Coturnix japonica: one gene and its partners. The protein of the gene in region 1 purifies or fractionates together with the protein of each later gene. This does not show direct contact. Links are inferred from orthologs where the notes say so. Each region holds a gene or a part of one and is shown in the gene's direction. Other genes may lie near its edges.

Region 1 (7,489 bases):
AGAAGACGTGGGTGTTCTATGCCCATTCCTGTGTACAGATACCAGTAACTTTCAAGATGCTTCAGTTCCAGAGCACTTTATGTGACCCACTTGAGCCATGCACATAAATCAGTGCATGCACTGGTGCAGCTGTTATAGCTCGTCCAAGGGTGACTGACTGCAGGTATTTGTGTGTGCACAGCACTCACCTGTTTGTCCCAGGCAGCCTTCGCTGTAACTGTCACCCCTCACTTGTCCATTAGAAACTGCGTTGATCCTGAACGTGCAAAACAGGATGAAAAAGGGTAAAGATTAATAAAGCAAGAAGGAAAATGTTTATAGAACAGTAAGGGAAATTCCTTAGGAACAAATTGAGACATAATGCATTTCTTACGTGTATTTTATTTTTTCAAAATGGGAAACATGCTAAAACTTAAACACGTTGCTCTGCTTTTCTTCCACTTTTAATGCTTTGATTTATATGCTACTCCATTTTCAATGGCTCCTTACCACAGGCAAATGTAAGGCACATGATCCTAGGCTGCATCACACAAAGCATGACCAGCAGCTCAAGGGAGGCGGTTCTCCCCCTCTGCTCTGCTCTCATGAGACCACAGTGCAGTGCAGCATTCAGCTCTGGGACCCCCACCATAAGAAGGGAAGAAGGTTTCAGTGTAGGAACAGGACAAAAGGTTTTAGGACAGAATAGGACAGAATGGTTTGAAGCTAAAAGGAGAGATTTGGATGAGATAATTAGGAAGAAATGTTATCACTTAGAGGGCAATGAGGCCATGGCACCCAGAGCTGTGGCTGCACAGTGCCAGTATCCAAGGCAAAACTGCATGGGGCCCTAAGCAGCCTGGTCAGAGCATCCCAGCTTATGGTGTGGGGGGGTTGGACTTGGTGATGATTAAAATCCCTTTAACCCAAACCATTTTGTGATATTAGCAACACTCAGACCCTGATTTGTTATTTTCACTTATCTCCCAATTTAAAGCCTACGTTATTTATTTTAATTCTGAATTTCACAGAAGTTCCAGGTGTGCACAGCTCTGATCAGGACATTACACTTACATTAGGAATGCAATGGTGGCTATAACCCCACAGGCATGATACGAATGGTTGAAGTCTTCCATGGTAGGGTACTTCACAGCTGCATCTATGATTATCCACCAACCTGTAAAAAACTATTAAAAGCAAAAGTACAATAGTTTAAAACACAGATAGAAAAGGTTTGACCAAACAAACCCAAACAAACAGCACAGCTGCCTCTACCATCAGCTTAGTCAGGTACATGCTAAACACAAACCCCATGATTTAGCTGCTCCAAGAATTGTAGGGGCTGGAAGGGACATCTAAGAGCCCTTTATCATCTCTGTGAACCTCTGATGGACTCTCTCCAGTAGATCCCTGCCTTTTTTTGTATTGGGGAGCCCAGAACTGGATACAGTACTGAAGGAGAGAGGGGTAGGATCACCTCCCTTGCCCTGCTGGCCACTCTTTTTAATGCACCCCAAGATGCCATTGGCCTTCTTGGCCACCAGGGCACACTGCTGGCTTATGGCCCACCAGGTCCTTCATTACAGAGCTCCTCCCCAGCAGGTCAACCACCAACCTGTATGGATGCATGTAGTTATTCCATTGCCCCCCAGGTGCAATAGTCATCACTTGCTCTTGTTAAACACCTCTCTGCCCAGCTCTTCAGCTTGTCCAAGTCTTACTGAAAGGCAGCACAGCCTTCAGGTGTGTCAGCCACCCCTCCCAGCTTAACATCATCAGCACTATCCCTTTAATAAAGTGAAACTGTTGAACAGGACCAGCCCCAGCACTGCCCCCTGCGAACACCAATACACTGAGCTCTGTCAGTCACATCCACCCCACACTCCCTATGGCTGCAGTGGGGTGGGCAGCACCAATTGCCTTCTGTGGGTGCTGTATAGAGCAGGGGGGGGGGATGCACAGAGCATAGAGGGGCTGGGGGGGGGGGGGGGGGGGAGGTCTATCTGTTCCTATAATGGCTTCATGGAGCCTCCTTTGAGCCCGTTTCCTCACACACCAGCGCTCCGGCTGCACAGAGCACAGAGGGGCTGGAGGTGTGGGGGTCTATCTGTCCCTATAATAGCTTAATGGAGCCTCCTTTGATCCTGTTTCCTCACACACCCGTTTCCTGCACAGAGCATAGAGGGGCTGGATGGGGATCTATCTGTCCCCATAACAGCTTAATGGAGCCTCCTTTGATCCCATTTCCTCACACACCAGCACTCTGGCTGCACAGAGGGGCTGGGTGGGTGTCTATCTGTCTCCATAACAGCTTAATGGAGCCTCCTTTGACGCCGTTTCCTCACACACCAGCACAGAGCACAGAGGGGCTGGGTGGGGGTCTATCTGTCCCTATAATGGCGAAATAGAGCCTCCTTATACCCCGTTTCCTCACACACCAGCACTCCAGCGGCCACAGACGCGATGGTGTTCCGCTTCTCCCCCCAGTCCACACACTCGGAACACCTCAGGCCCTCCAGGAAACCGGACATCTTTCAACGCTCTGAAGAAGGCGAGAAAACAAAATAAAACGAATCAAATCGCCACAACCGCGTTTCTCACACAGTAAATAACCCACCACAGCAATTATCGCTCTAAAAAGCCGCATTATATTGTCCTCACACAGAACACGGCCCGACCCGCCGCTCACCTCACGGCTCCACCGACGCGCTCAGTGCGCATGCGCAGCACGCAACAGCAGCTCCCCGCCTCCAGCGCGCAGGCGCGTAGAGGGCGGCGAATGGGTTCTTCTGCGCATGCGCTGTAGTACGGAAAGGGAGGGGGGAGTAGGGTGAGTGCAGGCAGTGCGCATGTGCACAAAGCCCGCGCATGCGCAGTCCGCTCCGTTACGTAAGCGGGGAGTGACGTTCTGGAAGGTTCGCGGCCGCTCTCAGTCCGCGCTCTGCTCGCGGTGGGGTCGGTTGTGTCCGCTCGTTGCTCCGGCGGTTCGGATCGCGGCGCGTTGTCTGGGCCCGGCCGTTCGTTATGGGTGTAACACACGAAGCCGGGTTGTCCCCTCGGGCGTCACCGTCGGAGCAGGATCCGTGTGGGGGGGGAGCGGCTGCGTGCAGCGGGTGAGGAGGAGCGGGGGGAGCGGTGCGGCCTAGGGCTGAGGGGGGAGATGGGCCGGGTGGGAGGTGGGGTGTATTGTATTGTATTGTTGGCTGTGGGCTGGTGCTGTGCTATGGCAGCACCTCATTTACCGCTGTGTTATTGCAGGAGCGCCATAGGGACCCATGGGAGTCAACAACGGGGATGTCCGGCGGCCCCCAGCGGTAAGCGGCCTCACCAGAAGCCCCCCTGGCCTCCGAGCTGGATGTGGGGGGGTGGAAGGGGTATATCTGGCCTCTGAGCTGTATGGAGGTGGGTGGGAGGGGTATATCTGACCTCTGAGCTGTATGTGGGGGGGTGGGAGGGGTATATCGGGTGTTCCCATGGGCTGTGCAGTGCCTGTGACCTTGGGTCTCTGCTTGGAGGTGATGGGTGGAACTTCCTGCAGCTGTTTGAGGAGCTTAATCAGCTCTTAGAGCTGGCTCGGTAGCTCTTATTGATAGTAAGCAGTGAGTCTGAGCTCAGTGGTTCAGCAGACAAGCCTTGAGAAGCAGAGTGTTAACACAGTACTTATAATATAGGACCACTGGGCAGAGAAGCTGTTTTGATGTGTTCCCTTAACGAATTTTACCCTATGATCCCGGATCTGTGTCTTATACTACACATGTAAGATTCTACTGGTGTAGTTTAGTGGCATAATTTAGTTGTGATCATTGGCCTATTATAAAGCTGTGGATGTAAAGCATGATGTCTATTCTGACCTTGAAAGTAGATGTTTGTTTTGCCCCTCCTGGTGCAGTAGTCTGCGCTTAAAACAGATGGGAACTTGAGTACCTTGAAAGCTTTGTTTGGGGTAAGGAAATAGCAGTAAATTTCATCTTCACAAAAGTTGTGTGAGGGGCATTAAAGCCAATGCAAACCTTTCAAAACTAGTGGCTTACACTAACGCATTCTTAAACTTTCATATAGAACCATAGAATGACCAAGGTTGGAAGAGACCTCTAAGATCATCCAGTCCAGCCGTCCTACCACCAGTATTTCCTCACTAAACAACGTTCTTCAGCACAAGATCTAAACATTTCTTCACCACTTCCTGAGCAGCCTGTCCCAGAGGTCTGACCACAGGACAGGAAATGATGCTGCTCATAATTGTCAGGCATAAAACATGCTCATAATTGTCAGGAAAGATTGTCAGCGTTGAATTGTCCTTGAACTTCTTGTTTGTGTGTTGTGCCATAATAATTGATGGTGTGTATGTCAATTGCTGTCTGTAAATGATTCGTGTCTTCATTTGCTTCTGTCTTCTTTACCCAGGAACAGAGACTGGATACTGCAGAACAACAAGCAAAACAGAACTGGGCTCTGAAAGTACCTGCAAGGAAGAAGTAGTGGCTCGTAAGAGCAGTGATATGGCAAACTGCATGGATGATTTGAGTCTGAATTCACCAAAGAAAAGAGAGAATTGTTTGAGATCCAAAAGAAGCTGCAGCAGGTCATCATCAAGGTCATCCAGTCGATCTTCCTGCAGCTCCCAGTCCAGTTCGAGTACGTCATCTTCAGCTTCCTCCAGGAGCTGGAGTCGGTCCAGATCCAGGTCTAGGGATCGAAGATACAGTTCCCGAAGGTACAGAAGATGCTCCCGTTCCTATTCAAGAAGCCGCTCAAGATCGCGTGGCTACAGGAGGTACAGAGGAAGGTACCACTCCAGGCACTACAGGAGGTACCACCGCTCTCCTCCGAGGTACAGATCACGCAGTAGGTCGTGGTCCCGTGGAAGATCATATTACAGAAGGTCCTATTCAAGAAGCAGGTCACGTTCCAGAGGCCGAAGAAACTATGGGTTTGGGCGGACAGTGTACCCTGAGACTTACAGGAGCTGGAGGAGCAGGTCACGAACCAGGTCTCGGAGTAGGTCACCTCTGCACTTGAGTGAGAAAGGTACTTGGACTTTGGGTGTGAGCATTGGAAACGGGTCTTTTATTGACTAGATAAATTGTAGTTACTTTATAGAGCCTATCTGATAAAAGGAGGTTGCAAAGAATCTTGCTACATCTATAAAAATATATTAAGAAGGGGGGTATAAACAGCAGTTGAGAGCATATCTTTGTATTTCAACTGAAGCTGTATCTCTCAAGTTGAGATGAAAATCCATCAGAGTTAATGTTTCAGTGCAGATGTGGTTTGGCTGCAGTTCTTAGGGTTGTATTGGAAGGATACGTATCTCATGTTAAAAATCAATTATGTCTTCTTTTAGAAAAGAGGGAGCTTCTGGAAATTGCAAAGGCTAATGCTGCAAAAGCTCTGGGAACAGACAATATAGTCTTGCCTGCTAGCTTGAAGATCCGCACTGCTTCTAAGGAGACCAGCAGTATTAAGAAAGAACATGAAGACTCTGGGGAGTCGGATGAGGTAAGTACGAACTGGAGTGTTGGGAATGAAAAGGTCAGCACATAAAGACTTGTGGTGTGCATGGATGTGCCACGATTCTTTTTTCCTTATTGAGGAGTTTGTTAATTAAAAGTTGAAACTCCTGAACAGAGAACTGAGGTTGACCAGAATGCTAAAAAGTGCTTTAGAAACCACTGTAGACTTTGCTTTTCACTGCAAGTACACTGGATTCTGAAGGGCAGTGGATTCAGGGCCGGGCTGGATGGGGTCCCAGTGGCAACCAGCCTGTGGCTGGGGTTGGAGCTGGATGATCTTTAAGGTCCCTTCCAACCCAAGCTGTGCTGTGGCTCTGCTGCATGCAGGCTTTCCTTGGTGTTACAACATTAGGAAGGGGAGAGAATTGTAGTTCTTGCAGCTTCTCAATGGTAGCATTGTATTGCTCATTACAGAAACTATTTTTTTCTTGATCTAAAACAAGGAGACTCCTTAGCAAACCTGTTATTTTTTTTCTTGTTAAGGTTAATTTTACTACCTTTTCTAACAGTTAAAAGCTTTTCATATGTAATATACTATTTCCCAGAAGTTACATACCCGAACACACAATGCATTTTACATGCTTTATTTCTGTCTTATAGAAATCATGACTATGGTTCCAGACATGATGAAGAAAATCTGTTGGTAATTAAGGGTCTTGTGGGCTGTAGCTACTGTGAATTTAAGGGAGGGAGAAACTTCAGCATCTTAAACTGAGCTGTAGTTTGGCTGTGTTAATGCTTTGTTAATCTGATTGATAGTAAATGCAAAACTGCAGTAACTTTACATCTATCCAATGCTGCTATTTCAAATGGAAGTAAATTTGCTAAAGGTTTTAGACAAATGGTACAGGCATCCCTTTCATAATATATGCAATATATTCCAGATGTTGAGAGAGTACAGAAGAAGAGGCCTGCATCACTTGCAGATAAGTTTATTGTTGTTATCCAAAGCTCTGCAGGATTAACGTGCAGAACTTCATGCGACTTATTCTGACACTACATTTCATTGTATGGCATTCCATGCTTTGAATCATTTGAATACTCTTTAAAACTGTAAGTGGGGCATGGATATCAGGTCATAGCAGGTCCTTGAATCGGCACAAGGACCTTGATTAAAAATACTGGTTTTCACATTGAACTCAATGCTGATCTATTGGCACATTTGGTAGCTTCTGGCTACTTTTGTTGTAAATATCTGAAACAACTGTACTGGGAAGTTATTAACTTGTAAAGGCTGCCTTAACCTACAGAGGGTGTTGTATCCTCCCACTGAAGTGCTGTGTGCTTTTCTCTAGCAACCCAAAGGACTGACAGAAGTCATAACCAAAAGTGGAATGGAGAGAGCAACCGCACGGAGCATCTCGTTCAGCCCTAATGTGAGTGTGCTTTCCGGAGATGGAAATCCCATAATTAATCCCTCTTGTATCAGTCTCCACAGCAATGATTGCCAAATCAAACATCTTAGCAATGGTAACGCTTGGAGGGCTTTGCAGTTCCTTTCCTGAAGGAGCTGGATCAGTTCTTCAGCAGTACAGTGCTGTTTTAATGTACTACAGTAGTGTTTAAATGCAGATGTTTCTGCACATAACGCTCAGTGCTGTGAGCTTTTTGTTTCTGGTATTTCATGCTGCAACTTGAAGTTGCGTCTTTGGTTGTGTTTGAGTAATGCAGGGGTGGGGTGGTTATTCAGCATTCTGGGTTAGTTAAGTGTCTTGTCAACACAAGCCTCTTAAAGTTGTTGGGTCTTTGTATGTCCTTTGTCTTTCCACTGGTTTAAAATGTAATTTCTTTTCCAGAATACAATGGCAAAGCCAGTACAACAGAAGCCAGCGAGCCATGTTGTTAAAGAACCATCCATTTCTCCAGGAAGAGAAGATGACAAAAAGGGAAGTCCCTATGGGCAGTGGGTTCCTGTCAAGAAGGAGGAGAAAAAGTTCCTAAACTTCTCACCCAAATCCACACTGTTCCGAGCACGCTAGAATAGCTCTGTTCCTCAG
Region 2 (7,344 bases), on another chromosome or scaffold:
GTATTCATTTTTTTTTTGTGGTTGAATGAGGAGGAGATGTAAAACTTTTGTCGTCTTGTTGTGCTTGCTGTGACAGAAGTTGTTATTTCATAATTAAATCACATGTATGCATTATTTTCCAGGAGCCCATCCTGAATATTCATGATCTCACTCAGATCCATTCAGACATGAACCTCCCAGTGCCTGACCCAATTCTTCTCACAAACAGCCATGATGGACTGGATGGGGTAAGTTTACTCTCTTGGTCGAGCTCTCTGCTTCTGGTAATTAAAACTGCATGGCCTGTTCTGTGTTGGATTAGGATATTCTTAGTTAACAACAGCCTCCCAAAGGCTTTCAGGAATTGGTCTCCCGATCTTGGGAAGTCTGCTGGAGGGTAATGCTGTCCTTCACAGTGGTCCTTTGTTTTTAAAGACGGATGGTTAGAAACCAGGAGAGTAGCAGAGGCTCTGATGTTATCCTTACTTCCTCTGCAACAGTTTTATAGCTTGCGACTAGTTTGTGAGTAAAACATTTTGTATATTTTAGCCAAATATGAAAAAGAGGAAGCTGGAAGACCGTGAAGAGACCTTTCAGGGTAAGAGTCCCCGAGTCTCTTTGTTGCTGCCTGCCCCTTGAACCGTGCCTTAAGAGAATGAGTTGACTTCAGTCCCGCTTGCCCTGTCCTGACAGCATCTGCTGCTTACGCAGACCTGTCCCTGCAGCCTCAGAGCCTGACCTACAGATATTCTCTTGTGGAGGAGTCAGGTTCCAGCTCTTGGAAGTAGCAGGATTTGGATTTCTCTGATCGACATAAGTAGTAGTTGCTTAGGCTTAGCCTGCTGACAGGAGCAGCTGGCCTCCCTGTGGATCAGTTCTAAAAGCTTTTTACATCTGGAGGAAGACCTCAAGCTTTGGATTAAGCTGAGGCAGAATCATTTCTTACACGTGTGTCAGGAAAATCCTTGTACCTAGGCTCAGCAGGCTGGAGCTCTCCAGTTCTCATCTAAGCTCTGTATTTTCTGTCTTCTTTCCTCTGTGGCAATCATGGCTATCCCATGCCCAATTTCCCCCTTCCTCACAGGTTAGCTGTATCCTGGCTCAGTGTCCACTGCTAGCCTTTGTAGGAGACATAATGCTCAGGTGGACATTTGGTCTGATCTTCTGGTGTACCTGTTCCCACGTGGGGCTGATGTATTTGTCTTCTTTGCCACTGTAGGTACCAAAGTATTTGTGATGCCCAATGGGATGCTGAAGAGCAACCAGCAGCTGGTGGACATCATTGAGAAAGTGAAACCAGAGATCAGGCTGCTTATCGAGAAGTGTAATACGGTGGGTGTGGGCCACAGCCCTGAGTTCTGGAGCAGATGGGGGCACTAGAATACTTTTGCTCCTTTGCTTGTGTGAAGGTTCTCTGAGAAAAGGAGCAGGTTCCTCTGTATTTTATAAATGACAGTGGTATGAATCCTGTAAAAATCTTGACAGTGATCTATATAGTGATCTTTCTATTGCAGGTCAAAATGTGGGTGCAACTTCTAATTCCCAGGATAGAAGATGGAAACAACTTTGGTGTTTCTATTCAGGTAAGATATTGTTGGCTATGTTGTGGTCTTGTATTATAGTGTGTTATCTTGCATTTTGATATCTGATGTAGTAAATTAGTTTGTTTCTCATCAGACTGTTGCTGTTTTCTTTTAAGGCCCATCTCTCTACCCTTCTCCCCTTTTTTCCCTTTTCCCTTTCCCAGGGTGTGGGTCTGTGTGTACTGCTGCCCTGCTAGTTACGGAACCGGGCTGAACCAGCCTGTAAACCACTGACAGGCTGTATGCCCTACTGTGGCAGGGAACTATGCCCCCAAGAGCATGTACCTTTAGGTTTCTTCCAAATCATTTGATGGTATCCAATGTCTGCAGTGGTGGAGTTGGTTTAGGTTTTAAGATCCAAATCTAAGCTTGACATGGAACTGCTACGACCTGGTACTTCTAGAGCGGCGATGGGCAGTTTCAGTATCATGAAAAGGCTTCCTTTGCAGGAGGAAACAGTTGCTGAACTTCGAACTGTGGAGAGTGAGGCAGCATCCTATCTGGACCAGATTTCTAGGTATGAAGGAACAGAGCCCTTTCTGGGAGTGCTGCTGGGAAAAGGAACCTTTTGGGGAAGGTCCTCCAGCTTTGCTGGGGCAGATTGTGCCTGGAAGAATCTTGGTACTGTTTGTCTGATTTGTAGTCTCCATTTTCCTAACAGATATTATATCACAAGAGCCAAGTTGGTTTCCAAAATAGCTAAATACCCTCATGTGGTAAGTAAATGGGGAAGTGGTGCTTTACAGTTTACATGCTGTTGCTTTCTGGGACTCTTCAGGCTACTTCATCACTGTCTTAATTTTGAGCTAGGGGCCCTGTGGGAAAAGGGGGGGCTATATAAGAATATGCAGAATATCTTCATTAGAGAAGAGGAAACTGAAAGGGGGGATTCCTTTGTAAAAGGTAGGACCTTCAGTTGATACCATGTATCAAGCACACCTGAGCTCAGGCCTCTTAGCCATGCATCTGTTTTCTGCAGGAGGACTACCGGCGCACAGTGACAGAGATTGATGAGAAGGAGTATATTAGTCTGCGCCTGATCATTTCAGAGCTGAGGAATCAATATGTAAGTGAAAAAACAGAGCTCTCACTGGCTCCCCACATAATAGAAAGAGTCCTTTTGATCCTTCTACTGCTCTCCTCTTTCCCTATGATTACAGCTAGTCCTGGAGAGAAGCCTATCTTTTCCCCAGTCTGCTTTGGCTCTAACAAGAGCTAAGTGTTTATTGGCTCCCCACCATCTCCCAGAGATGTGGATGTTTCCAACTTGAGTATTCATGGGAGCTGAGTGCAAAATATTCAGTACACTGCTCTAGGAGCGCTGCTGCAATCCTAAATTCTTCAGGCAGTACAGACCATTCTTTTGATGTCTTCTCTTTTTTGTATTGCACACATTAGCTTCTCTAAAGTGTTGCGGAAGAAAGCACTTATTTTAAGCAGAAATGTGATTGCAGGCAGGGGTTGAAAGTAGTACCAGGATGAGCTGTGAAACTGTTCAAGTCAGTGGTTGTGAAACCTGAATGCTAAGTGACATCCCCCCTTCATTTCTGAGTTGTGTTCTCCCTTTTTGCAGGTCACTTTGCATGACATGATCCTTAAAAACATTGAGAAGATCAAGAGGCCTCGGAGCAGCAATGCTGAGACCCTTTATTAAGTGTCAACGTTTGAACTTGAGAACTGTTCAGTCAACTAAAGACCGTCATTGCCTTGGTTTGTTACATGACTATCGAGATGGGAAACTGGCTGGAAATAGTTTTGCATTCTTAGTTAAAATCTAAAGAAATTATCACCTAGTTTTGTGATTGGTTTTATTCAGGTCTCAGGAGCTCTCCCTCCCTCTAGTATATCTGGTAAAGAAAAAGGCCTTGCTGCTTTGGGATGCCCTAGAGGCTACTGCAGAGTGAGAGCAGAGCGCCAGCCAGGCAGGAACATTCCTTCATGCCTTTCTTCCTACCTGAGTAGGAGCTACAGTAGAGATCAGGCCCTTGTCTTGTCCCATCTCTTGGCTGGAGACTTCTCTGTGGTCTCTGTGAATGGGGCAGACCATCTTCAGCTCAAGACTAAGCCTGGATGGTGGTGCAGTGGCTGAAAGCCAGCTCTCTTCACTGCTGGCTGCAGCTGAGCCCCTCTGCCTATGCTCTGCACTGACTTATTTGCAAAGACAGAGGATCCTGCCCCTTCTGGGTTGGTGGCCACAGCCACGTTGCAGTGCCACTGAGAGGCCTGTAATCGTTTTGTGGCTTTTTTGACTCAGTAGAGCGTGGCCCATCTGTCTCTGCCTTGGTTCTGAGCGGGTCAATGCAGAGCTGAAGGTTGTGCTTGTCACTAGGGCTGATTGCTGTACTGGCTGGTTGTGAGCGCATATGGCTTCTGCTCCAGTCTGCAAATTGACTAGAGCCACTTTCTTGGTTAAAACCAACTTCATGGGAGTCTTCATGCCTCCTTGGTATGAGCTGCTTTTGCCCAGGCTGAGAAAGGAGGAGCCAGAGGTGTGATGCTAAACTCCTGATAGCTTCCATGTGTGGTCAGACTGCAACCTGCTTTCTCCTGGCAGTGCTTCCTGCTGTCCAGGCGCAGCAGGCCAGCTGTGACAATAGTGCTTGGGGTGAGGATGGCCAATTCCTACCTGGTACCGTTGCAAACCTTGTATTCTTTCCCCTGCAAAAGAGCACCCTTGTGTGCCTATTGACTCCTCTAAGCTGCTGGAACATTTCATGGTCCATTACAAACCCCTTTGGAAATGATTGGTTGTGTTGCGTCAGTTTTTGTGTGTGGGAAGTGATCCCATAATGCTGCAGGCTCCAAATTTTTTATTTATAATATTTCTACTTAAGTCCCATATTCAGGGAATGTTAAATCATTTATTTCTGGAACCTCACTGTTTCCCAGGTCTTGTTGTTACACCCATATATTCTTATTGTGCAGTAGCCTTAATAGTTGTGTTAACTTCATTGTAACAACAGTGACAAATGGAATGAAATTTCTCTCCTTTTTTTTTTTTTTTAAAACTATTTTTTTTCTGCTTCCACCTCTAAGAGCCATGTTGTCTCTTGCTGGTTTCCTAGGGATTTCCCCAGAGTGTGGAGGGCCACCAGCCCTTGCTGTAGACTCTTCTGTTGTTGTTTGTAGTAAGTCAACTCTTAGTCTTCCCGCTAATAAATATTCTGTAACAAACCAACTGCGTTGTAGCTGCTGTCCTGGAGCAGCACTCCCCCTTGTGTTTCTTTGTATTGATTTATTTTAATTTGTTGAGCTCTCCTTGCCAGATGAAAGTATGTAAACTTTTACCATGTCAAGAAATTAAAATAAGGTACTTTGAATTCTTTTAAGACAGCCCCTTGTCTGTGATACTGAGCTCTGCAGTGTTGGTGTCTGTTCTCGGTCGTGCATTTCACACATCCAGTGGTTCCTTCCATTCGTTCTCCTCATTCTTTTTGACTTGATACTGCTATGTGTGTGCTGCTTTGTAGATTGTTTCTGTTCCTTCAGCATACTTTATATTAAGCACAAGGGCTTGAATTTGATGAGATCTGCCCTGTTCTTGCCTTTTGTGTTGTACTCAGGCCATCTTGGCTCACTCAGGTACAACTGATTTGCATGATGGTGTTCTAAGAGCTGCAACCCACTCCACGGCTGCTCTTGCATCTGTGCAGAGCAGATGTGTGCAGTGTCATAGGACATGCATCTGAATGTTGTACCTGACACGTGTATTCAGTGCATGGTCCATTACTCTCTTGATGTTACTGTGCATGCAGTACAAAGGGGACATGGGCTAAAGCATCCTCAGCGTTACCCAGAGGCGTGCTTTTGTTCTCATTCCTGTTCCTCAGCACATGTGGCATGCAGCCTGGGCTGCAGGGACCTGCTCAGCGGTGTTCAGCCAAGTGCCATTCATTCCCCAGCACCCTGTCTGGGAGCTGCTGGTGTCCAGCCTGTTCTGCTCTGTGACAGGGAGGCTGTGTCTCTTACAGCTTGGTTGCCACTAGGTGGGGGCTGTGATCCAGCCTGAGAAGTGCTGGGAGGCCGGGTGAGACCTGGCCAACCTGTCCTCAAAAGTCTTCAGCCACCAAGAAGAAGCACAAGCGGCAGCTGCTGCTCAGCTGCATTCTGCCTCCTGCTGGGCCATTGGCTGCGAGGTGCTTCCTGTGGAGTGGGAAAATACTGATGGTGCCCACACCTCTTGGTGAAGATGGGTAAGGAAATGACAGCACAGGTCCCTGGGGCTGAGGAGGCTGGAGCTATTGCTGGAAAGTCTGCTGTTGGCACTGCTCAGTGCTGTATGGCAGAAGGGGTCTACCTTGATATGGCCAGGAGAAAGGGAGCCCCCAGCAGCCCTACACAACAGTCCTGTGGAAGGATGGAGCGTCCAGGACTGCTGTGCTGACAGGTGTTGGTGAGGAGCATGTTTCATGCACAGGAGCAGGGGAGGGTTTATTGTCTGTGATCCTCACCCTTTGGCATGGTGGTTTCTGCTCTGCTTTCCCAGAGAAGTGTCAGCTATCAGGGCTCTAATTCACAGCTTCTTGGGACACCCCTGCTTGTGTTTGCAGAGGAGGTTAGAACTTTGGAAGAAGAAGAGCACAGCAGTTGTGTTCAGACAAAAACACTTGCCAGAAACGCAGCCAGCATGAGTAAGTGTCAAGCAATTTCCAGCAGTCTGTTTTACACAAGCTGAATGTGCACGTTGGGAGAGTGGGAGTTTTCTAGAGTTTGAAGTTCAGGTTGGGGTCTGCTTGAGGTGTACCCATGTCAGAAAGGCTGGCAAGAATTTTTATTGTGTGTTTGCATGTTTATACTCTTTACCAGCTGCTTGGCAGTCACTGACACAAAAGACGGCCTGTCTGTGCTTTGGTTTCTATAAATTCCAGGGACTATTTTTGCCAGCTCTACCTTTCTATGTGAGCAAAGCACAGCAAACTCCCAGCCACTGTGTTTTGTTTGGGAGATACTGGCACTTTCCTTGACATGTTGCACTGACAAGCAGTGCTTAAAAGCATCCGTGTAAGCCAAAATAAGCTGGTATGATGTGAATTCTCCATGATAGGTATGGAAGAGTCATGGGCTAATCAGACTGGGGAAATGTTGTGGGCAGAGTTTTGTGTACCGAGCAGCTCATGAACAAGTCATGCTGCTATTAGTGAGATGCGTCATCTTCAAAATTCTGGGCTGGCTTTAAGTTGCTTCAGGGTCCTTTTGGAGAAGACGCTGTTCCTGTGGTACATGTTATCCTTAAGGATCCCTGAACATGTATTATCACTTGCATGTTGACATTGGTTTCTCATCTCTTCAGGTTCAAATAATTGCTCTGCTTCCTGAAATGTCTGCTGCAGGATAGCAATGGATTTAGTCCTTGTATTTGTTCTGGAACGGAGCTCCCAGAAAGTACAGGCAGATTCTTGTTACAAACTGTAAAAGTCTTCAGCTTGAAAAGTACAGCAGAAATGGGTATCGTTAAGTAACATGATATTGAACATGACATCCATGGCATGTATCCTGTTGCAGGACAGAGGCAGCACAGGTTTACTCTGCAGACCCAAATGTGAATTTGTTCATCACGGGGACATCATTACAATTGGGGCTTCTTTTGTTGCATTCTATATACCCAACGTGCACAGAAGTGTTCCTACACTATATTTTCAGACATCTGACAGACAAGCTGCAGGGTTGAGTAGTCATTTGTGGGGCAGTTTAAGGCCTGTGAAGTTTATCCAGTTCTCTTAAACTACTGCTGCTTAGAAAAATGACAATCTAATTGTAGCTTGTGCTTTGGCTTTTAGGGACA
Region 3 (6,888 bases), on another chromosome or scaffold:
GATGTTCTTTTTTTTTTTCCTTCTGAATAAGTTTTTGCTAGGTGGAAGCTTGGGAAAGAATGCCTTATGCATTCTTAATGTTTTTCATTACTTAGTATACTAACCTAATTTCAGTAGCTAATGGCTAAGTGAAGGGAGTTCATTGACTTAACCGTTGTACCTCTCTAAAATACAGGAATGCAATCAGCTGAGCTCATCCAAGTCAAATGTCACAATTAAAGTAGATAAGCCAATGTGCAGTAATTTGTACCCGTTACTCGTCATCTGGCGTTGCAAATGAAGTTACCCACTAAAAGCAGACTTAACTCGTTTGAGCGTTACTATCGTATTTATTTTCTTTGTGTTTAGATCTCAGCAAAGTAATTTATTAATCTTTTAAAGAAGTCTTGATTTGAGGAAGGTCAGTAAGTAATTCAGGATCTTGAAAGCCTGCTTTGTACTTCCCACATAGAATTTAAAGTGGTGATGGAGTTACAGGAAGAGGAAGAAAACTATGGGTATAAATGTCTTGTATGCTTCCGAGTATGTGTGAAATTGTTGAATGTTAGATAGGAGCTAATAGAAAGTTGCAGGAAGGAGGTCTGGTTAAGATGGAATAGTTGTTACTATGTTTTCTGTGCTAGTTTCTCATTTTTAATCTGAAAATATTGTTATTTTTTGTGCAAAATATTATGTGGTTTACTAGGCTCTCACTAGTTAAAGCTGTTGGAGTGAGCATATGTGCTAATGTGGTCTTAAAATGGATTTTTGGTTTGGAAATAGAATCAATGGGAGGGGAAAAAAAGGATGTAAAAAAATGTGGCAGTTATTTCAATAGTTCAGTTTAGGCTTAATACTCTTGGGAAAAGCGCTTTCAGAAAGTTACTCAGGAATTTTTTCAGTACCCATGAGCTGGTTTACTGTGTGGAGCTGTGGGGCCTGGACAGCATGGCCTGTGAGGAAGTGAGTACTTAAAAAAATGAGTTTTCTGGGCATTGTATAGTGTAGGTGAAGGTCCTCTGAGAGTCAGAAAATACCAACAACTTGTATAAAGCATTCCTCTTCACCACTTATACCTCGAAGTAAGAGCGTGGAAAAGTGCTGTCGTTTTAGGTAAGATTTCATAGTTGAATATTATATTTTTCAGTGGACGACAGATGAAGACTTAACTGAAGCGGTTCATTCATTAGGGGTAAATGATATTTTGGAGATAAAGTTTTTTGAAAACCGTGCTAATGGCCAATCTAAAGGGTAAGATCTCTTCTGCTTTTTCTGTAAGTCGACTGAAGTTTAGGAGGGTCTAAGTGGGGAAAGAGTTCCAATTATTCTGTCAGTATGTGAACTTATGGCCTCTGTTTATCAATATCCAACAATGATTGGGTATATTAATTCATGCTAATTAAATTCCAGGCATAAATTTTATGGGAATATTACTTCATACTTCTTAATGAGTTAAATTTTATTGGCATTTACACTGGAACAGGTTGTTGAAGGAGGCTGTGGATGCCCCATCCCTGGAGGCATTCAAGGCCAGGCTGGATGTGGCTCTGGGCAGCCTGGTCTGGGACCCTGCACATAGCAGGGGGTTGAAATGAGTTGATCATTGTGGTCTTTTTCAACCCAGGCCATTCTATGATTCTGTGATATATGTGAAGACTCTATTCCTAAGTTTCAGTTAGTGTTGTGGTGATGTATGTTGTTCATAATATAAATTTTTCCTATCCTATCCCTGTTATTGAATGATTTTAAATGCTTGTTTTTCCATTAACTGCTGAAAGCAAGCACTTGAGCTGGTTCCTTGCTGACAGTCTAATCTTCCTAACATAATTTTGTCTTCATCTCTCATCATTACTAATGAGAGTAGCCACGAGAACACATTGAATTCTTAATAACAACTTGGTTATAATAATCAATAGATAGCATATTGATGCTGTGTCAGAAAGCTACCTTTGTTACACTGCTGCATCTTGGACTTACATTGTGGTTTTTCATCTGTGTCCTAGAGTGAATTACTTTATCTATCTCTAAAAGAAAAGATCTCTAAGATTTGTGGAAGATTCTGTATTTTCTTTTCAAGCATTCTTTTGCTCACTGTGTTAAGTGTTTATTCATGAGGCATCAGGATATCCAGGAAACAAAAAAACTGCAGTGTAACTGTTTTTTTTTCTTCCTTTCAGGTTTGCCCTTGTGGGTGTGGGATCGGAAGCATCCTCCAAAAAGTTGATGGATTTGTTGCCTAAAAGAGAACTGCATGGGCAGAATCCTGTTGTGACTCCTTGTAATAAACAATTTCTGAGTCAGTTTGAAATGCAGTCAAGGAAAAGTAAGTCTCTCTCTTGTGCCATCTTGGAAAGATTGGAAGTTTATTCCGGAAGTTGTCCTGCAGTTCTTCTCTCAGTATCTGATAATTTCTGCACAGTTAAAGATTTCTATATAAGTATTAAGTGAATGAAGTTGCAGCTTTGTTTTAAAAAAATTAAGTAGAAGATCCCCTTAAAAACTGAAAACAAAACAGTTAATTCAATGTGTTTTTATGTCTGTGGTTTTAATAGGAGAAATTGCTGGAAGTGCTTATTATGCAGCTTTGTAAGACTCTTCTTAAGATTGGAGAAGTAGAGGTGCAGCATTTGTAGGCAGATTAGACTAACTTAATGGACTGAGTTTCTACACTTCCATTCTTGTGGTGTGGGGATACTGAAATGCTGCTGAATCTTAGCAAAGTGTTTTTTCCTTTGTGGTACTGGGGATCAAGGTGATGCTTTAGTGCTACATAAAACTTTAGAAGAATTGAAAAGCTTTAAACTATTTTGATTTACATAATGACATTTTTCCACTGCAGCCACACAGTCTGGCCAGATGTCTGGGGAAGGTAAAGCTGGTCCTCCAGGAGGAAGCTCAAGAGCAGCATTTCCACCTAGTAATAGAGGGCGAGGCCGTTTCCCAGGTGCCATTCCAGGTGGAGACAGATTCCCTGGACCAGCAGGGCCAGGAGGGCCACCACCACCGTTCCCAGGTAAAATACTGAATGTGGAGGGTTTCAGTTTAATTTTTATTTTCTTTTATTAATGCAGTATGCTTATTTGGGAATTACAAAAATTAAGGTCAGTAAGCAGGCACATAGAATTACCAAAAACTTGAAGTGGTTGGTTCTGTTTTCAGGTTAATGTTCTCTTTCAGTATAGATAACCAGTTATAAATATATCTAAGATACTGGACCCAAAAGTGGAGCTCTGCATGTGTTGTGCAAGATGTGAATTGTTCAGTGAAGGCTTTTTGTCTGAGGAAAAAAAAAAAAAAAAAAGGACAAGATCTTAATTATTTTTGTGACTCTTTTATTTCTTCATGTTTATTAACTTTTTATTTATTTATTTTTTTGTAGCTGGACAAACTCCCCCACGTCCACCCTTAGGCCCTCCTGGTCCACCAGGCCCACCAGGCCCCCCACCTCCTGGTCAGGTCCTCCCACCTCCTTTAGCTGGACCTCCTAATCGTGGTGACCGCCCACCACCACCAGTTCTGTTTCCAGGACAGCCTTTTGGTCAGCCTCCTCTTGGGCCACTTCCTCCAGGCCCTCCACCTCCAGTTCCAGGCTATGGGCCGCCACCGGGTCCGCCACCACCTCAGCAGGGTCCACCTCCACCTCCGGGTCCATTTCCCCCTCGTCCACCCGGCCCTCTCGGGCCACCCCTGACTCTCGCTCCTCCTCCACATCTCCCCGGGCCACCTCCAGGTGCTCCACCTCCTGCACCACATGTGAACCCAGCTTTCTTCCCCCCACCTGCCAATAGTGGCATACCTACTTCAGACAGCCGTGGCCCACCTCCAACAGATCCATATGGCCGACCTCCACCATATGACAGAGGTGACTATGGGCCACCTGGAAGGTGAGTATTTTTGGTGTTATATGCCGTATGGCAGACTTTATTCCTTGTAGGAAACACAGGATTTTTTAAAAACTTTTTAATGCAAATGTTAGAAAAAGTAAACAAGGGGGAAAAAGCAAAACAAAACAGCAAAGCTGGAGGGGATCCCTGCAATCATGAGATTTGCCCGTTCGCTTCTTAGTGAATGAACTCATAAGTGTGTTTGTAGCAGTAAGAAAACCTTAAAATGCATTGCTAGTAATCTTGCTTTCCCTTTTCGGCTTTGAACTGTTTGTGTACATTGTTCACAGTATCATCATTCTGTGTGTTCTACATGCTAACTTATATCACTTCCTGCCAGTAGCTTCTGGTTGTGCTGCTGTCATAACTTGAAATTCTCACTTGTCCCTTTGCCATCTTGCTTTGCAAGCTGTCATTGTAAAATGCTCTGGTGTTCTCTTTGAATATGTGCATGTGTTGAGGATGGTGCCACACCAAGCTCATGTCATTTTCATCTTCTAGCAGTTCGGCTTGTTCCTTTTTTCTTAAGGGTTCAATTAAAAGTTAGCTTTTGTCTCAAAAGCTGAGTGGGAATTTATTGCAAGACTTTTGTTTTGCTTTCCTGTTAAGCTACTTGTAATTTTGTACAGTCTTTCTGTGTTTGTAGCAGTGGCCTTTTCTGTAGTTAATCCAGTCTGGGTCGGGGTTTTTGAGTCCCTCTGACTTGACTAGTGAAGCGTTTCACATCTTGTTTGAAACAGCTTTTGCATTTGTGCTTTCAAGCATCTGTCATGCCGCTGTTGTCTTCATTTTCAACATACTTTCACCATTCCTTAGAACTTTTGGGGTCTAATTTTAAGAGAGATACCTTCTACGCAGTTACGTGTGAATTTTTCATTTGTGATTTTACTGATATTGTTGAGAGAGTCTTCTCTTGCCTAAAGTGTTTCCTGCAAAGGCACTTTGATTCTTCCTTTTACATGTGAGCACAAAGTTGAAAAAAACCCCAACAATTGTACATACTGTGTTCCTATAGAAGTTGTAGAAATTCAAGCATTTGGCTTAATTGCCTGAGATATAATAAGGTGCTTTGTGTTTTTTGATGGACAAAATCTAAGTTGTCTGCAGTTTACAGAATGGCTGGGGAGGGAAGGAATGGGGATAGGACAGAATAACTTCTGTCCACTATTTTCAATAAAAATGTTAAGACTATCATCCATAACTATTTAAATTGTCATTAATTATATATCATAGGCGTTTCACTGGAAATAACATGTCCATAAGAGAAAAATTACATATTCCATTCTATGGGAGGCACACGAAAAATAATACTCAAAACTCAGGGAGGTATGAATTTTTAGACATTTCCTCTTATGCTAAACTGGCTATAGGATCTTGTTCCACTTCTTGCACTTAAGAGGATAGTATTGCTTGTTATTCTGCGTTTTCTTTCTACCAGAGGAACTAACACTGTTTTAGAAATATCAAGCAGTGGGTCAATTTGACAGTCTCAGCTTTTGTCTCTAATGCATTTCTTCAGATATTCTATATGATTCAGAGACTGGCTAATAAAACACTGCAAAACTTGTGGGTAATTTTTTGTATGAGTAAATTTTGTTACTTTAGAATCAATGTATAGGATAGCTAATAGTCAGAGTTAAAAAGTATAGTGAGTGCAAGTATTCATTTTAATTGCTTCCTCCTTACTGTGATTGGGAGATGAAATTGGTGCACCTTGAACTTGACCAGAAACAAAACCTAGAATTAACTGTAAAATGTTGGTGTCATTCAGAAAATTGAGTGTTTTAATGATGACAGACTTTATTTGCTTTTTAAAAATTACAGCCCTCTGGTCTTAGTTAAGAATCTGGGAAACAGGATCATATAGTTCTATTTCCAAGACTGTCTTAAGGAGATTTCTAATTTTGCTGAAAGTTGCATTACCCGTGTATGTGTATCTCTGCATCCATTCAGCTGGTGTAATGTCTGCTTAGATACCTTGAAGGATTTTATGAAAATGTTAAATATTTGTAAAGCACGGTTTAAGTGCTGCTGAATCTTCAAACTAGATTGGTAGAACAAGAAAAACTACTCATTTAGCAGATGTGATAATTTTTTTTTTAACTTATTATTTTCAAGCTTTCAGGATTTTATACTGTAACATGGTCCTTAACACAAACCCAGATCCTGCTTTCTTTTCTGTTTGTCATTTTGCTTAAAGTTGCAAACTTGGATTGTTAAAATTGCAATGATATTCTGTTAAGGTTTTCTTAACCTTGTAAATACTAATTTTTCTTGCTTACAGAGAGATGGATGCTGCAAGGACACCTCTAAGTGAAGCAGAATTTGAAGAAATCATGAACAGAAATAGGGCAATCTCGAGCAGTGCCATTTCAAGAGCTGTATCAGATGCCAGTGCTGGTTAGTAAAACTTGCTTTCTATTCTGCCTAAGCAAAAAGAGTTTCTAGTTATTGTGTTAGGAAACCTGCAGCCTTCATGCCACTTCCTTCTAGAATGCTGAATTTAGGTACGACCTATGACTCTTTTTGTACTGTAACCCAGCTGACGTTTGGGAATGCCTTCTGAGTACTGATCTGGGCAGTGTTATAATGTTTAGTCCTCTAGTAAATGATTTGGGAGGCTATTGAAAGAAAGCATTCCGAATTGTATTATTATTACAGATAAAAACCTTTGTATTAATTGGCATAATTTTCTCGTGATTTTATATTGTTTTCAGGGGACTATGGAAGTGCTATAGAGACCCTGGTAACTGCAATTTCCTTAATTAAACAGTCCAAAGTATCTGCTGATGATCGTTGTAAAGTACTTATTAGCTCTCTTCAAGACTGCCTTCATGGAATCGAATCCAAGTCCTATGGTTCTGGATCCAGGTAAAACTTTCCTCTTCCATTTGCCCTTCTGTGAAAGGGAAGGTGTGGGGCAAGACAAGTGTACAGAGGAGGAGCTAAGTCATGTGAGAACCTTAGTGATTTGCTCAGCTGCACAAGAAGTTTGTGAGAGAAACAAATATAACTTTTGAGTCTA
Region 4 (7,300 bases), on another chromosome or scaffold:
AAAGATGGAGAGCTCAGCTTCCAAACAGAGCAGTGAGCACCTTTTGATCATAGAACTGTGCCAGGGAAAGCCATAGAGAATCTCACACGACTTCTGCTCAAAGCAAGAGATAGCAGCTTTAGTTTTGCATGTTTTATTGCTGTGTAAATTGGAAAAGATGATTGTTCTGCTGGACAAAGTGGGATACATCATTGCTTGGGGCATTCATTTCTCTGAACTGATAGACTGAAAGTATTGTCCCTCTGGTCTGAGGAAAGAGCAGTGATGTTTGCTGCTGGTCCCTCCAGTTGGTGCTGGCAGGAGTGTTCATGTCACAGCCCAAACCTTCTTGTTTTGACAGATGCTATTCAAGCAGCCATTGAGCAGCTGGACCTGCTGGGGGCTGTGGAGCAAAAGGAAGATCAGCTTGTCCTGACTCCCCTGGGAAGGAAGATGGCGGCCTTCCCACTGGAACCAAAGTTCTCTAAAGTAAGAGCTGCAGAACAATTATCGGCTTTTACTTCACCTGCTTTTCCCAGCACCTTTCACATTTTTCTTTCAAGCTCCTAAAACAAGGTCTAGAATTCGGGGTGACTGCAGTTGTACCACTATATTGCAGCACATTAATGAAGCACAGCTTTCTTTACAGCAGCTGTGCTGGTTTGCCCATCATTTGTTCATTTAAAGGGGATGTTTAAAAGTTGCTTTATTTCCTCTGGCACATCTGAAGCTGAAACCAGGTTGATTCTCCTGCCATTTCTGGGACTGTCTGTAGCACGATTTGACAGTTTTGGGATGTATTTGATACAGGAATGGAGTTTGGGCACCATATTTGTGTTGTATCTGAAGTGAATCCTCTTAAAGGTGCTCAGTAGTTCTATAGGAGGACTTACAGTTGTCCTTAAGCCCAAATGTGTATGAAATTGACTTAATCAGCACCTGGTGAAGTTGCACAGGGAGCCCTTCCCCCCTGGACTGTATTTGCTCAACCAGAAATCCATTTTCTTCTTTACAGACCATCCTCCTGTCCCCAAAGTTCCATTGCACAGAAGAGATTCTGACCATTGTATCGCTGCTCTCAGTGGACAGTGTCCTTTACAACCCCCCAGCCCGGCGGGATGAAGTGCAATCTGTCAGGAAGAAATTTATCTCCAGTGAGGGGGATCACCTCACCCTGCTCAATGTGTACAGAGCCTTCAAAAACGTCAGTGGCAACAAGGTGGGATGCTCTGAGGATTCCAGGAATCCTTCTGACTCACAGCAGGGGCGGCTGCATCCTTTGCAGTTGGTGCATCCTGCATCCTACCAAAGCACCTGTGAGAACAGAGATCTTGCTCCTGCTTTACAGAGGGGTAACAGAGAAAGCTGTTGCAGTGCCAGAGGTTTCCCCAGAAGGTGCTGGCAGACCCAGTCACCAAAGTTGTGTGAGACCAGCTCTGGAATCAGAGCCACGTCTCTTCCCTGCCTGGCTGCAGCTGGAAATGCAGCAGTGAGAGGGTGCTGGGACTTGATGCTAAATATCTGCACGTGTCCCATTCAGGAGCATGTTTAAAACCAGACTTTACTTATGCTTCTCTATGGATTCCTTCAGTTGATTTATAGAGTAGCGTATCCCATTCTCTGCAACATTTGTTCCTCTCATGTAACTTGCTTTTGCCACCTGTGGGACATCAAGGACTGTTGTGCAGCTGGCAGTGACCTTCAGAGCAGCTCAGAGTGGGAGGAGAACAGCAGGTGGTTTGTTGGTGGGAGGGAGGAGAGGGGGAGTAATGAGGGGTAGCAGAGTGTGTTTGGAGGATGCTCCTTTGCCTGGCATCCAGCTGTGCTTCCTGAAGGAGCAGCCCCTTGTAACTGCTGGTATCTGTGCTGCAGGAATGGTGCAAGGAGAACTTTGTCAACGGCAGGAACATGATGCTCGTGTCAGACGTGAGAGCTCAGCTCAGGGACATTTGTGTAAAGGTAATGAGTTGTCGTACTGCATTTCTCTATTTCTTCTGTTTCTCCCCTCATTTATTTCCTTTGCAAGAAATCAAGGAGCAAGAAAATGTGTTATCCAGGCCAGCTGCATTTAGGACATAACCTTGCCTGCTCTCAGCAGCCCATTGCAGGGGGCTGTTCCCCCACTGGTGTGCACACACTTGTTCTTCAGCATGAGAACACTGTGGGAACAGCTGCCCACCTTCAGACAAGCGCAGGTTGATACAATTGGAACAAATAACAAATGGCAGTGAGTGTTGTGTTGCATTGCAGTGATGCAGAGATGCAGACACCTGCTGCTGTGGCCTCCAGCTCATCCAGGCCCCTGATGATGGAGGGTGTGTAGGATGGGCTCAGTGCCATTGGAGCTTTAGGAGTGTGCCGGGTTTCCCTGCAGGGCATGGATCCAACCCAGGCACAGCCCGTCTCTGCCTTCACACAAGCAGGAGGGATTCTTAGAGCCTGCAAGTGGAGCTGGGGCAGTGCTTCAGTGCTGTAGGGCTTATGGTCCCTGTCTTATGGATTGAGGCTGTCAAAGGGAGTGCAGGGAAGTGCTCTGTGCTTCCTGGCTCAGCTGTGCTCGCAGTGTTAGATGTGTTGGGATGCCCGTGTCTGTGCTGCACGCTGTGACCTGCTGCCTCGTGTCTGTGTCCCTGCAGTTATCGCTGCCCATGGAGTCGTCCCGCTCCGACACCTCCAACATCCGCCGCTGTTTGGCTCACAGCCTCTTCATGAACGCGGCCGAGCTGCAGCCGGACGGCACCTACAGCACCGTCAGCTCCCACCAGCCCGTGGCCATCCACCCCTCGTCCGTGCTGTTCCACTGCAAACCCTGCTGCGTGGTTTACAACGGGCTGCTGCACACCAACAAGTGCTACATGCGGGACCTGTGCGTGGTGGACGCGGACTGGTTGTATGATGCAGCACCTGACTATTTCCGCAGGAAACTCAGAGCAGCCAAGAACTGAGTGGGGCTGCAGGGCTCAATACAGGGCTCAGTGCAGGGCTCAGTGCAGGGCTCAATGCAGGGCTCGGTGCAGGGCTCAATGCAGGGCTCAGTGCAGGGCTCAGTGCAGGGCTGGGCTGTGATCTGTGCAGGGACAGCGGGGTTTTGCATCGCAAACAGGTGTAAAACTGGGAGGAAAATGGCTTCTCTGTGAGAGGCAGCACTCATGGCAACCTGTGGCTTTGAACCATCGTGGTGTTAAGAGCTGCTGTGTAAAACGGGACCTGCTTTGTGCTGGTGTTTAACATTGAGCTGTAATGGATGGGGCTGGAAGGAAACGAGCCCAGCAGCTCCTGCAGCAAACTCTCTATTTGTTGATGGTTCAGTTTGTGTTCCGGGCAGGTTTTACCGATGGAAAATAAAGACAAATAAATAAATTTCTACATACAAGGAGCAAAATCAAAGTGCTGTTTCACTGTCAGAATGGAGGTGCCTCATCTGTCCGCTCGGAGCGCTGCTCAGCGCGGCTCCCCCCGCCCGGCTCCTCCTTTGGAACCTTCTGGTCTCTCCCCCAAGGTCACTCCGCGTTGTATCTCGTTCCCTCCCCTTATTACCGGGGGCGGAGCTCCGGAAGCGCCCCGATCCCGTCCGGGTCATTCTCCTCCTCCTCGTCCCGTTTCTCGCCATGCTGCTCGCTCGAGCCCTTCGTTCCGCCGCCTCGTTCCGCCCCGCTCTGTCCCCGCTCCGCTCGCTCTGGTCCGTCCCGCAGCCGCTCCCGGCTCGTTCCCTGTGGCAGCGGAGCGATGTTGTTGTTGGCTGGAGGGCGGCGCTGCTCAGACCGCGCCGGGGAACTGCGGGCGGCGTGTCCTGCGGCTGCGGCGGGCTGCACACGGAGGGTGAGTCGGGACGGAGCCGCACGTGGTGATGGAGGTGGGGGTGGATGCGGGGGGTGGTGCCGGTGCTGAGCGGTTTCTCTCTCCCCGCAGGGGACAAAGCGTTCGCTCAGTTCCTGACGGATGAGATCCAGGAGGAGCGGAAGATCCAGAAGCACAAAGCGCTGCCCAAAGTGTCGGGCGGGTGGGAGCTGGAGGTGCACGGCACCGAGGCGAGGCTGGTGCGCAAAGTCGCCGGGGAAAAGTGAGCAATGAAATAACGAACGGGAGCGATGCGAGCGGGGCCTTCCCGGCTGTGATGGTTTAACTCGTGTCCTTTGTGCAGGATCACGGTTACCTTCAACATCAACAACAGCATCCCGCCCGCTGTGGATGAGGACGCGCCGGAGGAGCAGAAACACGAGGAGCAGGAGGAGGTGAGCACAGCACAGAGCCAGGGGACCACAAAGGGCCGCCGTGTGCTCAGTCTGATTTTGGGAGTGGGAACACACAGAGCAGGACGGCCCTGGGAGACCCCCATGGACCATCCCACCCCCTGCTGAGCACTGCGGGCACCTCGTGGCTGTGCTGGCTCCTGCTCAGCCCTCAGCACTGATCGGCTGCTTCTCTCCTTCAGCCCGATATCACATCGACTCCAAACTTTGTTGTGGAAGTCATTAAGGATGATACAAAGCAGACCCTCGTGCTTGACTGCCATTACCCCGAGGATGAGGTGAGCTGTGCTCTGGGTTCCTGTGTCTGCACAAAATGCTGCCTCCTTCTTTTCTCCTCACACAGGTTTTATCTCTGTAAGGAAACTGATGGGATGGGTTTCTTTCTGCTCATGTCCTGACCTTCTGATCAGCTCAATGTGTGGCATTAAGGGGGTTGTGTTCCCACCTGCAGGATGAAGCAGCTGATGGTTCCCTCTAATTACAGCTAATACATCCTGTGCCTCATTTCCTATTTCAGGTTGGCCACGAGGGAGAGGAAGAAAGTGACATCTTCACCATTAGGGAGGTCAGCTTCCAGCCCACCGGGGAATCAGATTGGAAGGACACCAACTACACCCTCAATACGGATTCCCTCGACTGGGTAAGTGCTGCTGATTTACATTGTACTCCTATTCCATCATGAATCATTTGCTCACCCTGTTGGAGGTGATATGGCAGCTATTGGCACCAAGCAGGAGCACCAGCTCTATGAGGAACAAGGGGGGAGCCCACAAGCCTAATTGTATTGCAGTAGTTAAGTAGGATTTGAAGCTGTGCTCTGCTAAGGCTGTTTTCTGTTCCTTGTTGCAGGCTCTGTATGATCACTTAATGGATTTCCTGGCTGACCGAGGAGTGGATAACACGTTTGCTGATGAGTTAATTGAGCTCAGCACTGCGCTGGAGCATCAGGAGTACATTAAATTCCTTGAAGACCTTAAAAGCTTTGTTAAATGTCAGTAGGGAAGGAAAGCAGCGTTCAGTGTGGGCATTACACAGCAGTGCTCCACCAGCAGAACCACAACGTATCTTCACAACAGAGATGGAGTAACTGAATTGGGAATTGAGCATCACGGGACAGTGAGGGGCCTCACTTGTATTTATGCTACGTTGCAGCCCAGCTCAGGTTCTCAAACAGGACTGTCTGGACCTGCCTCCCCCTGCTGCATTTTGTACCATTAGGAATGAAGGTGAATAATAAAATGTGTTCAAAACTCCCTGAAAAGTAGTTGTTTTTTTCTTCATGTTGATCAGTTGCCATAAGGGATATCTGTGTGTTCCCTGACCTGAGAAGTTAATGCAGCTGCCTGCAGAGCTGGGCAGTGTTAGGCCAGTTTTTCTCCAGGGCTATTCTAGCCCAATCTAGTCCATCTGTACCTGTTAGTATCAACGCATCTGCTCTAGAAAAATACTGCAGACAAGTTGGAGCTCTTTCCTTGCAGTAATTCAAGTCCTGTGGATGCTGAACATCAGCAGCATTGCAGAGCAGCAGATTTGGGCTTCTACTCAACCTGCTGCGTCCAGGTGATGCCTCAAGGTCTGAGTCAGCCCCAGTGGCAGAGCAGGAGATGCTCCCGCACCATGCAGCCATGCATTAAAGAGCTGCCTCTTATTTCAGCTTGAAGGCAGCCAAGGACAGAACAACGAGAAGAGGCAGAATACTTTGTGACTATTGATCAACCTCCCTGTTGATTCCAGGGCAATACTTAATAGTCCTGAGTGTAGTGGGTAAGATTGTAAGGAGGAACCTGCTTTTAGAACAGAAGGATACATTAAAAACACTGTCATGGACCTGAAGTTAAACACGAAGTCCAAAGCAAGCTGTGAAATCACTGACACGTTGTTGAAGATGATATGAAGGATGAAGTATTTATTATAAAAACATGGACTGTGCCATCAAAAGTGCAGGGTAAGGCAGTAGCGTTGCCTTGGAGTATGTATGACACAGGACACATAAGTGTATGGACATTAGAAGACAGTAGCAGCTCTGGGTTGAGTTCTAGTCTCAAAGTCACTGAAGAAAAAAGCAGCAGCTGAAGCAACTTAGAGGAGAATCATCCAGAAGTCACAGACCTTAAAAAGGAAACCTTAAGTTGAGCTGACAAGTTGTAGTAACGCATAAAAGATAGATAATAGTACAGTGAAATTCAGCTGTTTCAATACTGGTGGTCAAAATTAAACCACTTCCAAAAGGGTGTGAGGGAGAGACAGGAATGTAAACCCATGGGATTGGTGGAATTGTGGCTTCTGTCCATGTAACAGGGGTGGATTCAAGCAGGAATCTGACTCACTGGACAGGTCATGAGCAGACTGGCCTCCTCCTCCATCCCATTGGTAAATGTGAACTCTGGATTGTGAAGGCACCTGTGACTGTGCTCTGTTATAGTGTTCTCTAGGAGTGACCGAAGCTTCTCTTCTGTCATATCCTGGAGGGAAAAATAAGGGGGTTAAGAAGAAATCTTACTCATAAGATCGACCTCACCATGTATCGCTCACAGCTCACCTGGGCAGGGACATCCAACCCACACTGGCAGAAAACTGAGTGGCTCCTCACAGTCAGATGGTTCCTAGGAAAGACACACAGTGAGAGCCCTGACAACGAGAGCTCTGCTCTTCCAGCTGCTTGAAATCCACTCTCTTTGTTTGCTGTTTTGCCCAGTTCTAAACCCAAACTGCTGCAGTGTGGAGGATCTCATTCTTACTTTCTGCACACTGGGCAGATGATTCTGTTGCTGGCATCCAAGCCATCGAGGATTGCATTGAGGCATTCTTCATCAAACCGCAGACTTCGCTCGTACTCTTCTATAACCAATTGTTCTGGGGGCGGGGGGGCAAAAAAAGACCAACAAAAACCAAAACAGAACAGCAACAAAACAGACACCTGTTAACGACTTCAATGCTGATACACATGGAGCTGCTGTGGGGATGCAGGTTGGGGCAGCCCCTTATTGCTGAGATTCTTATTTCCAATCAGATTTCTGTGCTTAAGAAAATCATCACTATTAACCCGCTTCTTCCTACAGCCTTCATGCAGC

What was found.
Region 2: the proteins of RSRP1 (region 1) and PSME3 purify together in Homo sapiens (affinity purification with mass spectrometry; 3 studies listed by BioGRID and IntAct, counting the BioPlex papers as one, with this or other methods). This does not show direct contact. The link is inferred for Coturnix japonica from reciprocal best matches to the Homo sapiens genes RSRP1 and PSME3.
Region 3: the proteins of RSRP1 (region 1) and CPSF6 purify together in Homo sapiens (affinity purification with mass spectrometry; 3 studies listed by BioGRID and IntAct, with this or other methods). This does not show direct contact. The link is inferred for Coturnix japonica from reciprocal best matches to the Homo sapiens genes RSRP1 and CPSF6.
Region 4: the proteins of RSRP1 (region 1) and C1QBP purify together in Homo sapiens (affinity purification with mass spectrometry; 3 studies listed by BioGRID and IntAct, counting the BioPlex papers as one, with this or other methods). This does not show direct contact. The link is inferred for Coturnix japonica from reciprocal best matches to the Homo sapiens genes RSRP1 and C1QBP.

What each region holds. Positions count from the first base shown.
Region 1 is NC_029538.1:2,151,891-2,159,379, forward strand, and holds the start of RSRP1 (arginine/serine-rich protein 1), read left to right. Parts: upstream 1-2,853; 5' UTR 2,854-3,003; coding exon 3,004-3,092; intron 3,093-3,237; coding exon 3,238-3,293; intron 3,294-4,383; coding exon 4,384-5,007; intron 5,008-5,323; coding exon 5,324-5,478; intron 5,479-6,376; exon of another isoform or gene 6,377-6,787; coding exon 6,788-6,868; intron 6,869-7,288; coding exon 7,289-7,471; 3' UTR 7,472-7,489. Other genes in the region: TMEM50A (transmembrane protein 50A), read right to left, coding at 189-256, 1,054-1,166, 2,418-2,510.
Region 2 is NC_029542.1:4,665,615-4,672,958, forward strand, and holds the end of PSME3 (proteasome activator complex subunit 3), read left to right. Parts: intron 1-122; coding exon 123-227; intron 228-528; coding exon 529-577; intron 578-1,198; coding exon 1,199-1,311; intron 1,312-1,493; coding exon 1,494-1,562; intron 1,563-2,011; coding exon 2,012-2,079; intron 2,080-2,223; coding exon 2,224-2,278; intron 2,279-2,541; coding exon 2,542-2,628; intron 2,629-3,135; coding exon 3,136-3,216; 3' UTR 3,217-4,891; downstream 4,892-7,344. UniProt on the Homo sapiens protein: Subunit of the 11S REG-gamma (also called PA28-gamma) proteasome regulator, a doughnut-shaped homoheptamer which associates with the proteasome. 11S REG-gamma activates the trypsin-like catalytic subunit of the proteasome but inhibits the chymotrypsin-like and postglutamyl-preferring (PGPH) subunits.
Region 3 is NC_029516.1:32,112,163-32,119,050, forward strand, and holds part of CPSF6 (cleavage and polyadenylation specificity factor subunit 6), read left to right. Parts: intron 1-1,126; coding exon 1,127-1,230; intron 1,231-2,156; coding exon 2,157-2,302; intron 2,303-2,818; coding exon 2,819-2,992; intron 2,993-3,358; coding exon 3,359-3,863; intron 3,864-5,096; coding exon 5,097-5,189; intron 5,190-6,147; coding exon 6,148-6,263; intron 6,264-6,580; coding exon 6,581-6,734; intron 6,735-6,888. UniProt on the Homo sapiens protein: Component of the cleavage factor Im (CFIm) complex that functions as an activator of the pre-mRNA 3'-end cleavage and polyadenylation processing required for the maturation of pre-mRNA into functional mRNAs.
Region 4 is NC_029534.1:2,452,085-2,459,384, forward strand, and holds C1QBP (complement component 1 Q subcomponent-binding protein, mitochondrial), read left to right. Parts: upstream 1-3,539; 5' UTR 3,540-3,587; coding exon 3,588-3,798; intron 3,799-3,888; coding exon 3,889-4,039; intron 4,040-4,120; coding exon 4,121-4,211; intron 4,212-4,411; coding exon 4,412-4,507; intron 4,508-4,746; coding exon 4,747-4,869; intron 4,870-5,078; coding exon 5,079-5,228; 3' UTR 5,229-5,490; downstream 5,491-7,300. Other genes in the region: ATP-dependent RNA helicase DHX33, read left to right, coding at 341-468, 995-1,198, 1,852-1,938, 2,616-2,924; RPAIN (RPA-interacting protein), read right to left, coding at 6,309-6,338, 6,557-6,691, 6,769-6,832, 6,968-7,082.